Linked DNA regions of Nothobranchius furzeri. The protein of the gene in region 2 purifies or fractionates together with the protein of the main gene of each other region. This does not show direct contact. Links are inferred from orthologs where the notes say so. Each region holds a gene or a part of one and is shown on either strand. Other genes may lie near its edges.

What was found. The genes of interacting proteins can lie anywhere in the genome.
Region 1: the proteins of aptx (region 2) and parp1 purify together in Homo sapiens (co-immunoprecipitation; 3 studies listed by BioGRID and IntAct, with this or other methods). This does not show direct contact. The link is inferred for Nothobranchius furzeri from reciprocal best matches to the Homo sapiens genes APTX and PARP1.

Annotation. Positions count from the first base shown.
Region 1 is NC_091742.1:4,978,977-4,983,983, reverse strand, and holds the start of parp1 (poly [ADP-ribose] polymerase 1), read right to left. Parts: upstream 3,040-5,007; 5' UTR 2,916-3,039; coding exon 2,793-2,915; intron 1,092-2,792; coding exon 926-1,091; intron 638-925; coding exon 522-637; intron 431-521; coding exon 216-430; intron 210-215; exon of another isoform or gene 195-209; coding exon of another isoform or gene 1-194. Other genes in the region: adorb1a (adenosine A2c receptor), read left to right, coding at 1-194; si:dkey-206f10.1 (adenylate cyclase type 8), read right to left, coding at 4,402-4,617, 4,818-5,007. UniProt on the Homo sapiens protein: Poly-ADP-ribosyltransferase that mediates poly-ADP-ribosylation of proteins and plays a key role in DNA repair.
Region 2 is NC_091746.1:79,993,698-79,998,985, forward strand, and holds the start of aptx (aprataxin), read right to left. Parts: upstream 3,157-5,288; 5' UTR 2,373-3,156; coding exon 2,231-2,372; intron 1,450-2,230; coding exon 1,403-1,449; intron 1,280-1,402; exon of another isoform or gene 1,240-1,279; coding exon of another isoform or gene 1,224-1,239; coding exon 945-1,223; intron 820-944; coding exon 760-819; coding exon of another isoform or gene 752-759; intron 289-751; coding exon 62-288; intron 1-61. UniProt on the Homo sapiens protein: DNA-binding protein involved in single-strand DNA break repair, double-strand DNA break repair and base excision repair.

The DNA.
Region 1 (5,007 bases), on a different chromosome or scaffold from region 2:
TGCTCTGCCCTCGCTGCTCCGTGCCGCTGGAGCTGCTGCTCACCGCCATCATCCTGTCACACGCAAACTCCACCATCAACCCCTTCCTATACGCGTACACCATGACGGCTTTCAGGGACACGTTTAAGGACATTTTCTTGTGCTGCAGGACGATGAGCAGCAGGAATAACATCGCTGAGGAAACAAATCTCTAAACTAAACGTTTGTCATCTCACCCCTCAGATTTGACAGCAGGGAGCCTCTTCTTAAGATCGTTCTTGTCTTCGGCGCGCAGCGCGTCGAATCCCTTCAGCTGGGCGGCGGAATAATCGGGCTTAAACACCAGTTCCTCCCTGCGGCTCACGAAGCACGCCGTGTGGTACCAGCGGTCGATCAGACCCAGCTGAGGTTTCTCTGGGTCAACCGTTTTCTTGGAAACACGAATCTGATCCTGAAAGAGAAGCAAAAATACGGCAGACATGTGAAGTATTTATGACACGTGTTCAACGGTTATTGATTAAGACATTTCCTGTGCTGCGGACCTTTTCTATTTTTTGCTCGCAGCCTTTGCACGTGCTGCGGTTCGACTTGGCGTACTCCACGGCAAAGTTATTCAGAGTTTTGGCCCCTTGAGCGGCACCTTTTGAATCACTTTTCCCTGCAAGATGCAAAGGAAAATAAGTCTAAACATTTAAAAAAAATATGCATTAATAGTAAATGATAAATTAAAAACATTTAGAACAACTTGAGAAATGGCACTCTTTTGACTTTTTATGGATCACTTCACTTTTTTATCTGGCTAATAAGACAAAGTTAAACCAATTGAAAGTAGCTATCTTAAGCTCTTTTGCTTACGATCCAATCCAATTTTATTTATAAAGCGCATTCACAAGGCATTACAACCAAACAAGGCGCTGAACACAATAATTAAAGATCTACCACCGACCTGCTCCGACAGCTCCTCCAGTCTCAATAGCCTTTTTGACTTTTTGCTGGTCCTCCCAGCGAAGAGTGGAGAACCCGGCGATGTCTGCTTCAGTCTGAGCTGCCGCTCGCTGCCAGAAGCAGGAGAAGTGGTGCCAGTGTGGGACTTTCCCATCGAACATCGGGGACTGGAGGACAAAAACAAGACAATGAAGCAACAGCAAATATCAGAAAAAAAAGATGAAAAAAAAAAACAAAACCATTAAAGTGAGAATAAAGGTTTTTCTGTTTGAATTTTTCTGGTTTCTGAATTTGAATGTTGTTTTGTTGTTGGATTTCTGTGCTAGTCATGGATTGTTGTCGTTTCGTCTGACCTGCGGCCGCGTGTCTTGGACACTCGGGTGAAGAGAGGGGCGGAGCAGGCAACTGACAACTACCTGGTGGTGAGTTGGCTCAGATGGTGGGGGAGGATACCGGTCAGACCAGGCAGGCCCAAACGTATCGCGAGGGTCTGCTGGGAACGTCTGGCAGAGTCTCCTGTCAGAAGGAGCTTCAATTCCCACCTCCGACAGAACTTCCAAAATGTTCCGGGGGAGGCGGGGGACATCGAGTCTGAATGCACTCTTTTCCGTGCCTCTTTTGTTGAGGCGGCCGACCGGAGCTGTGGTCGCAGGATCGTTGGTGCCTGTCGTGGTGGCAACCCCCGAACCCGCTTGTGGACACCGGCGGTTAGGGATGCCGTCAAGCTGAAGAAAGAGTCCTAACAGGTCTTTTTGGCCTGTGGGACTCCAGAGGCAGCTGACGGGAACCCGCAGTCCTGCCTGGTGAGGTTTTCTGGGCACGTCCAACCAGGAGGAGCCCTTAAGGTAAACCCCGGACACGGTGGAGGGACTATGTCTCTCACCTGGCCAGGGAACGCCTTGGGATTTCACCAGAGAAGCTGGCCCAAGTGGCTGGGGAGAGGGAAGTCTGGGCCTCTTGACTTCGGCTACTGGCTACTACCCATCTCCGGATAAGCGGATGAAAATGGATGGATGGAATTTTTCTGGTTTTACATGACAAACGTTTTTTGTGCATTAAAAAAATTCAGATTTTACTCACGTTAAAAATAAAATCATGAATTTGTAAACAAGGGTTTTCACAATTTTGTCTTTAAAACTACAGATAATAATTCTGACTTACTTATTTAAACAAGTATAACAAATAAACATATTCACAAGAATGTCAATGTTTCATGCAGCCAGAACTAAAAAAAAATTGACATATTTTGCAGAAAATACACAACACACGGTTGGGTTTTCCAACAATAAAAACAAAAAGGAACCACTGACCTGATAATATGCATTACTGTAACTATTAAGACGTTACAAAAGAAATACTATATAGACTATATTTTGTGGCTGAAACTTTAAATGTGTGCAAGTGGTAATGAATTTTCCTTCCTTTTGCAGGGGTGAGTGCTGATCTGGACCCACAGACTGACCAATAAGCAGGAGTTTGACTCTTACATGATTATTTCTCTATTGCACAGACTGGAACAGCTGCTTGTGTGATTTTTTTTATCTATGTCTCTTGAGTGGAGGAGAGGATGGAGCAGTTGTATTCTGCAGCACACTGGATGGGTCTCAGACATTGTCCTAAGTCCCTCTGAGGCGATCCAGGCGGCTCTTTGTGAGCCAGATTCATTCAGTCAGCCATTTAAATGCTAACCGGGGGCCTCACTTAGCACAACTCAAACTCCTTTATAAACTACACTAGATTAGTTTAAAGTCTGATTATTATGGTTCTCTATATGCGCACATATGATTTAGATATCAGCACGGTTATAAAAGGCTTCATAACAGAATGGTTCCTTGGTTAAATCCCTCCAGACGTCGCTACCTCCTCACCTGCACCATGAGGGCCATCCTCAGCGAGTCCTTAGCTATGCTCTCTTTGCATTTCTTGCACGAAGCCCGGCCGCTTTTCGCGTATTCCGCCTTGTAGAGCTTGTCATCTTGGGAGTCCGCCATTGTTCCTTAATGTTGCAAACAAGCAAACAAAGCGACGTGATGAAGAGGGCAACTTTCTCCGATGCACTCTCGGAGCCACCACAACAATCACAGGCAGAGCGGCGGCTGCAGCCCGCGTGCTACTTGGAGAGGAAGCTCACGAGACGAGGTCTCACTCTGACTCCGATTTACAATCCACGTAAGTTTTAACTTTGTTTTAATGTACTTTGTGGTATATTACGTTTTAGTTTGTTTACGTTATGATTCGAGACATTATGATGATTCGTTTGGCCATTTTAAACTTCTGTGTGGTCCCCACCTGTTTGTATTTTTCTCTAATGTACCGAAAAAAATCAGGGTTGAGTTGTTACACTGTAACCACATAACAACTTTGTTTATTCTTAACGGTTCATAAAAGAGAGAAACATTTGGCCACTCTAACCCAGAGCTAGAGTAGCTCTGCCCTAACCTAAATCTCTGACGCACTGTGATTTTTATCTTGAAAGGCGCTACACACATTAACTTTTCTTCTTCTACCAAGTGGGGCATCTTAAGAGCAATATAGGATCAGTGAACTGGTTCGCAGAATTCCCGCGCGAGTTTCAGCCAGAACTAATGGAGCACAGATCAATCAGATTTTTACAAAACTAAACATGAAATTCTACATGAAGCAAAACTATTAAGTATGTTAATTATAAATATATTTACAATAGTTGCATTTGTTTATAGTTGATCACTGAGAACTAATGCGCAAACAAACAATTCCAAAGAATAGTTCTGCTTTAAGATTTTTATTTGCACAATTCACATTGAAAGTTTATGTAAAAAATAAACATACAAAATGTAAATACAATATGTGTTCATCAAATGAACTTCAGTCTTTTGAAAACAAAATTTTTAAAAACTATGACCTGATTATAAGGGCCTAGATAACAATTTGGGTTCAATAACGACAATAATAATACACTGATGGAGACTTTCATTTACTCGTCTTTACAATAATTTTTCACATAGTCATTAATTAGTAAAATTATTTCTAAAAAATCTTTGGGCTTACTAATAAATATAAAAACATCTTTAACTGTAAACAAAATTGGTGGAAAATAACTCACTAAAAACGTCAACCAGGGCTTTACAGGCCACTGAGTAAAATTCTAAGAGGTATTGTGTGTTTTGGCGTAGAGGTCTCACCTCTTGCTAGCACATTTTCTAAGCAAGCAAGAAAATGTGTTGGCTTTTCTTTAACTGGACAAAATAGCATAAACAACAACTGAAAACAGAGATTTCAGATGATGAAGTTAACCTATATTATGATGCTATAAATAGTTAATTTCCAAAGTAAGGTTTAGATGAGAAATCATAGATGATTTCACCCAAGACGGTCTCAACTCATTTAGTTTTATAGTGACAGGATGGATCAGAAGGAAAAAGGAGTTTGGCAAGACTTGATCCAACTAGCAAACCTTGAAATACATTCATGGAATGTGTCTTCTTCTTTGTGCATTGCTCAGCAAAGCAGCTTACTGGGAGTCAAAGTGAAATTCCCATTGGACTCTCTCATCCTCTCTTTGTGTCTGGCCTGGACAAGACCAAATACCACTTCTGCTAGAGTCATGCGTCCTGCTGTGCGGCCACCTGGGCGCCCATCTGTTCCGATGTTGGCTCTTTTGCTGCGCATGGTGCTGATGAAGTATGTGCGAACATTCCCCTGGCATTCACTCACCTGAACAGAAGTACAATCAAATATGGTGTTATGTTCATGGGTACTTTGAACTTAAAAAAAACAAAACAGGAAATACTACCTTAATCGTACCCATCCTTGTACATTTAGTCATAATTGAAAAAAAAAAAACCACAAAATATATGATATTTATAATAGAATTTATCAGAACTTGAACATGTGAAAGTTCAACAAACACTCACCCCTTTGATAAATATTTCTCCTCGTAGTTCCAGGACAAAGCCCCACTCTGCCAGGACCATCTGTGTGGCCTCAGGCACCTGGATACGTCCGCTCACACCTGCGCTGTCCATACGACTCGCCAGGTTCACCGTCGACCCCCAAATATCGTACTGTGGTTTGGTGGCGCCGATCACACCTGCAACCACCGGC
Region 2 (5,288 bases):
TGGTGTCTCTTTGAATGAAATAAATAATAAAGTGAGGGGTTCCCGTGCGGTTTCGGTTTACCTCATGCTCGGGATGGCGTGGTACCCCATTCTGAAGCGTACCGAACCCGAATCTGGGCATTGTTGAACCATACGATCAGCGACCTGCTGCATGTGTTTCAGCAGGTCACAGTGCTCTTCACGCAACGCCTTCAAACTGGGAATCGACTGCCATGGAAGGACTAGCCAGTGGTAGCGGGCTTTGGGGTATTTGTCTGTAATGACAACTACTCGGTCATCCTTGTAAACCTGGAAAATTGAGACAAAGTTATGCGAGTTTAAGAATGTTTAAAGAGCAAGTCACCCCCAAATCAACGTTTTTTTGCTGATAAACTATATAAATGTGTGTCTAATTGTGCTGCAGACATGTGTGGTCAATAATTTGGTACTTCAGTGCATTTTAGTTAAAATTTAAATATTCTGCCTAAAACTGTCAGTGTTGCACCGTCGTCGGGTAAAAACTCTGCACTGCATTGGAATTTAAATCTGCCGTGGCTATTGGCTAAGAGGTATGCTATGATGTAAACTGGTACATTATGATGTCACAATGCCGTTGTGAGCCTGTGTGTGTGTATTTGTTAGCGGCTCCGCCCTCTCTGTCTGCTAGGCAACAGCATTTGTTGCATTTTTCAAACAGGAAGTGAGAGTTGATTAAGAATCTGGTAGGGGTGACTTGCTCTTTAAGAAAACGCAGTCGTCCATATTGCAGTACCTGTATACCTGCATACTGGGGTCTTGCATTGAAGTCTTCAGGCCTTGGCTCCAATGTCCAACACTTACCTACGGCAAATATCAGAAAACAACATTTATCTGCATGAAATAAAATGACCACCAACAATACAGGTGGTCCAAAAATGATCAAATAAACAATAAAACAAGAAAGAAACACATATCTCTCTTCTCACATTTGTTTTTGTAGCTTCTACAGGACTGCCTGACACGGCATCCTTTTCTGTGTGTATTGTTGCTTTCATAGTCAGAGTGCTTTTCTGTTTTTCTCCATCCTCTTCTGTAGGCTCTCTTGGTCTTCTGTCTCTCTTGTCGTTTCCAGTGAGATCTTCTTTGAACTGGACAGTGTATGGGTAAAGCTGATTGACAACGTGAAGATGCTGTCCAGGCTTCATTTTCACCTCGTTGCCCTTTCCCACCACCGCAGAGTCCACAGAGGTGGGGTTTAAACCCAGCTTTGGAGCCATTCATAGACAAGTTTAAATACAGATTATTACAGAGAGCAGACCTGCTAAACACACAGCAAGCATATTCAAAGAATACTGTCAAGACTGAGACTTTAACAACAAACATCATCATATAATTATTAATTGTGCTTCTGTTGCTGATAAATTAGTAATCCAAACTCTCTCACCTGTTTAACTTTCACATAACCTTTGTTGCATTCAGCTTTCAGCTCAACTGGTTGGGAAGGATAATAGTTAAACAGGTTAAAGGATTTTTATTTTCACAAAGCTAATTAGTGACAAATTTAAATAAAAAATAAATAAAATTAAATTGGGGGAACAGGATGTCATTTTTAGATATTTGAGCACGCTGTTACTCAGATCTTTTGGTCTTCTTCAGTGCCATAACTTTAGTTACCAATTACAGCGTAAAAATTAGAATATATAATTCAAGAAAAATTAAGTGGCTAAATATGCAATGTATTTATATACACCTGGAAAATCCTAAAAGTAAATTGATGTTTTCACATTACAATATATGATCACGTACTCCTGCAATGAAAAGTTTTGTTTTGAAAAGGATAATTATAATTAAACTTGAAAGGTTGAGGAAAATTTATGAAATTGCATAAAGAAAAAGTTAAAATAAACCAGAAGTAGAATAGTTCAGGAATGGTCTGAGGACGCCTGCTGTGCTTCTGAAGCTGACCGTATTTGTTACGTTTTTATCATAATGGCCTCTGAATGTGATTTAGAAAGAAAACTATGTAAATGGTGCATTTTTACATGATGTGCTGTCTTTGAGTTGCTTTAATGGCAGAGCGCCAGCTGAATTATTTTAGTCCTTCAAAATAAAAGTCTAAAAATACGCAGGTCTTTTAAAAACCTAATTTGATTCTAATTATCCTTAGAAGGAAAGAAACTTGAACGAATTAAGTACAAAAACAATGTAAAAAAAAACTACTACACGCGTGTTACGCATTACAAATGAGGCGCAGCGACAATAGAGAAATTACCTTGTTGCCTGGAGCATTTTTTGTCTTTGATAGTCGTTTCTGGGCCTCGACCCAACACGACTGTCTGTAAATGCGGCAGCTGGATGGGTCTGTGAGTTCCTTTCTTACTGATAAGCCAGCAAATTGGCATTTTATCAGTCATTTAGCGTTCTCCGGCGGCGAGCAAATATGACGTAACCACCACATCTACCGGAAATGCGTCATCAAGATTACTATCACAAATGTTACTCAGCAAAAGAAAAGCGAATTTTACGTTTTTGTCAGAGCTTTATTTTTTAGAACATTTCGTAGCGTAATAACCATAGTTTTTTTTACTGTTCAAATGTGTTTTTCTAAATAAGAACGCCTTCAAAATGAACTTCTCTAAAGCCCGACTATCATCTAAGGGGGCAAAACATCCGGGATGAATGGAGAAAGTGACTGGAACAGCATGGAAAATTTAAAAAGAACGACAACAAATTAACCAAGACTATACATTTATTTCATCATTTCAGTTTAGACACAGCAGCCCTCTAAGTGTTATTTGTGTGGTTGTTATGTTTTTTTAGTTGTTTGTTTCCTTATCCTGTATTTTCCAGTGCTTAAATATATAAATTGCAACATGTCAACATGACATATTCCCCTTTTCTCCAATTAACACATAATCAGTTTTTATTTAAGCAGGTTGGACCAAACAATCTTTTCTATTTCTATTTCTCATCTAAGAACAGCACTGACATTTCTAGCAGAGGCAACCTCAGCAAGAAAACTGACATATTCATTACTATCATTCAAATCAGGAATCAGGTGCAGGCTAATGTTTTCAATTTAACGTTAATATTAAAAAGTCTGAACTTTTCGGTATTTGTTTTTTTTAGCATTAAATTAAACTCAGGATCCTACAACCGTTTTAATTTAGGATTTAGTACTTTAGTAGGATAAACTAGCCTACCGCGTTTATAAGGTAAATTGAGCAGCGCAAGAGATGTAAATTTTAAAGTAAACTGACTTTTTCCACTTCTGCAGAAAAAAATTGCAAAACAGTCCATTGCATTGCATCGCCATTCTTTCTGTGCGTGCGCTTGTTTTCTTCATCGGTTTTGGCTAAAGGGGGTGTTGCCACACGGTTTCGTCGCCAAAAAGTGACGTAACGGGGCGAAACGTTTGGACGCAGCACGGGACACGGGTGAAGATTCTAGAAGACAGTCGATGTGCGGTTTGGCCTTGAAAGGGTCTTAGTTGTCTTCATATAAGGTTGGAAATTAGCTATTTTCAAGTCATATTTTGTATATACCGGTCTCAGGTCAAATTTTTTGCTAACAAATAGAGGAAAACAACATTGATAGCGTTGGATTTTTAATGTGGTGTTGTACCGAGAAAAATACCCCTGTAATCAAGCCTCTTCTCGCGATGGTCATCTCTGCTTTATTCACCATTTTTAATAAATTGTGTTGAAGTCAAAGATGATTTAAAAAAAAAGGTAACTCGTGGTTTTATTTGCTTAAATTTTACAATTAGTTACCAAGACTTGATTTTAGCCACCAAATCAACACCGTTTTCTCCTATATACTGTACTGATGCGTGATAGATACATTTCTGTTACATCAAAACATTTGTTTATAATATTATTGTAAAGTGCTGATGAACAGAGCTATTTTCTTTTTCAGTTTTTAACGGGCTAGTGATGTGTCGGTTTTTCAACGGAAGCAACTGCTACCCGTAACGAAATGCGCATTATGACAGGGTAACTTTTTTCGCCACAACACCAGTTCCACTAGCTAAAGCAGCTACATGGGGCCTTATCGTTTCTTTTTTGTGTAAACTGGAAGCCATACGGTCATATAAACGTTTATGAAAATAAGACACTTAAATGTTTTCAGACAATAGACGAAGACAAATTATGTTTCTTCTGTTTGTTTTCTGTTAACTCCTACCTAAAAATACTGAGTGATATAAACACCTCGCGACGTAAACGGGAAACTTCTGCTCTCACTGGCTAATTAAAGTTAAATAGCAAAACTAAGATTTGTATTCTTATATTAACTTGAATAACGTGTTCTGGTAAGATTGTAAGTCTTTTGTCATTACTAATTATTATATTAATTCAAGTACAGGTTAAATAGTTAGTTAAATGCATTTGCATTAAAATAACATATTTCACAATCTTGCAAGAAAATCTAATTCTTTACACTATTAACTTACGTGCGTCTTCGTTAGGTATGTTTGTGAAGGTGTTAATGTAAGTTTTTTTGTAGTAAATGTCAAATTTATTACAACTGATTCTACTTTTAATTGAACAGAAACATCTGTCAAAGTCAAACATGGTTAAGGAAACAGGCTTTTACGACACACTTGGTGTGAAGCCAAATGCAACCCCAGACGAACTGAAAAAGGCCTACCGCAAGCTAGCCTTGAAATATCATCCAGACAAAAATCCTACTGAGGGAGAGAAGGTAAGTGTTTTGTTTTTGTTTCATCACAAACAATAACAAATGTGTTTAAGCTTTTTTTTTTCTCTCTGAAGTTCAAGCAGATATCACAGGCCTATGAGGTTTTATCAGATGCCAAGAAGAGAGATCTATATGACCGTGGAGGAGAAAAAGCAATAAAGGAAGGAGGAACTGGAGGTGGTGGCGGTGGTGGTAGCTTTGCATCCCCCATGGATATATTTGACTTATTTTTTGGTGGAGGTAGTCGGATGCACAGAGAGCGAAAAGGTTGGTAAAAAGCTGATTTTCACATAGGAACATAGACATTTTTGTGAGACAGTTTTGTTTTTCCTTCTGACATGCTACATGACTCGTATACATGAGTCATCATTTCTGCAAGGAGGCACAGTTGCTAGCTCTGTTGTTTTGCAGCAAGAAGGTCGCAGGTTCAAAATCTGGCTTGGGCCTTTCTGCGTGGAGTTTGCATGTTCTCCCCATGCATGTGTAGGTGTCCTCTGGGCACTCGAGTTTTCTCCCACAGGACAAAAACATCCATGTTAGGGTATTTAACTGTGTTGCTGTTAGGGCTGAGCCATATCATACCTTTCACAGTAATACCGGTACAATGTTGGGCAATGATAAGAAAATGA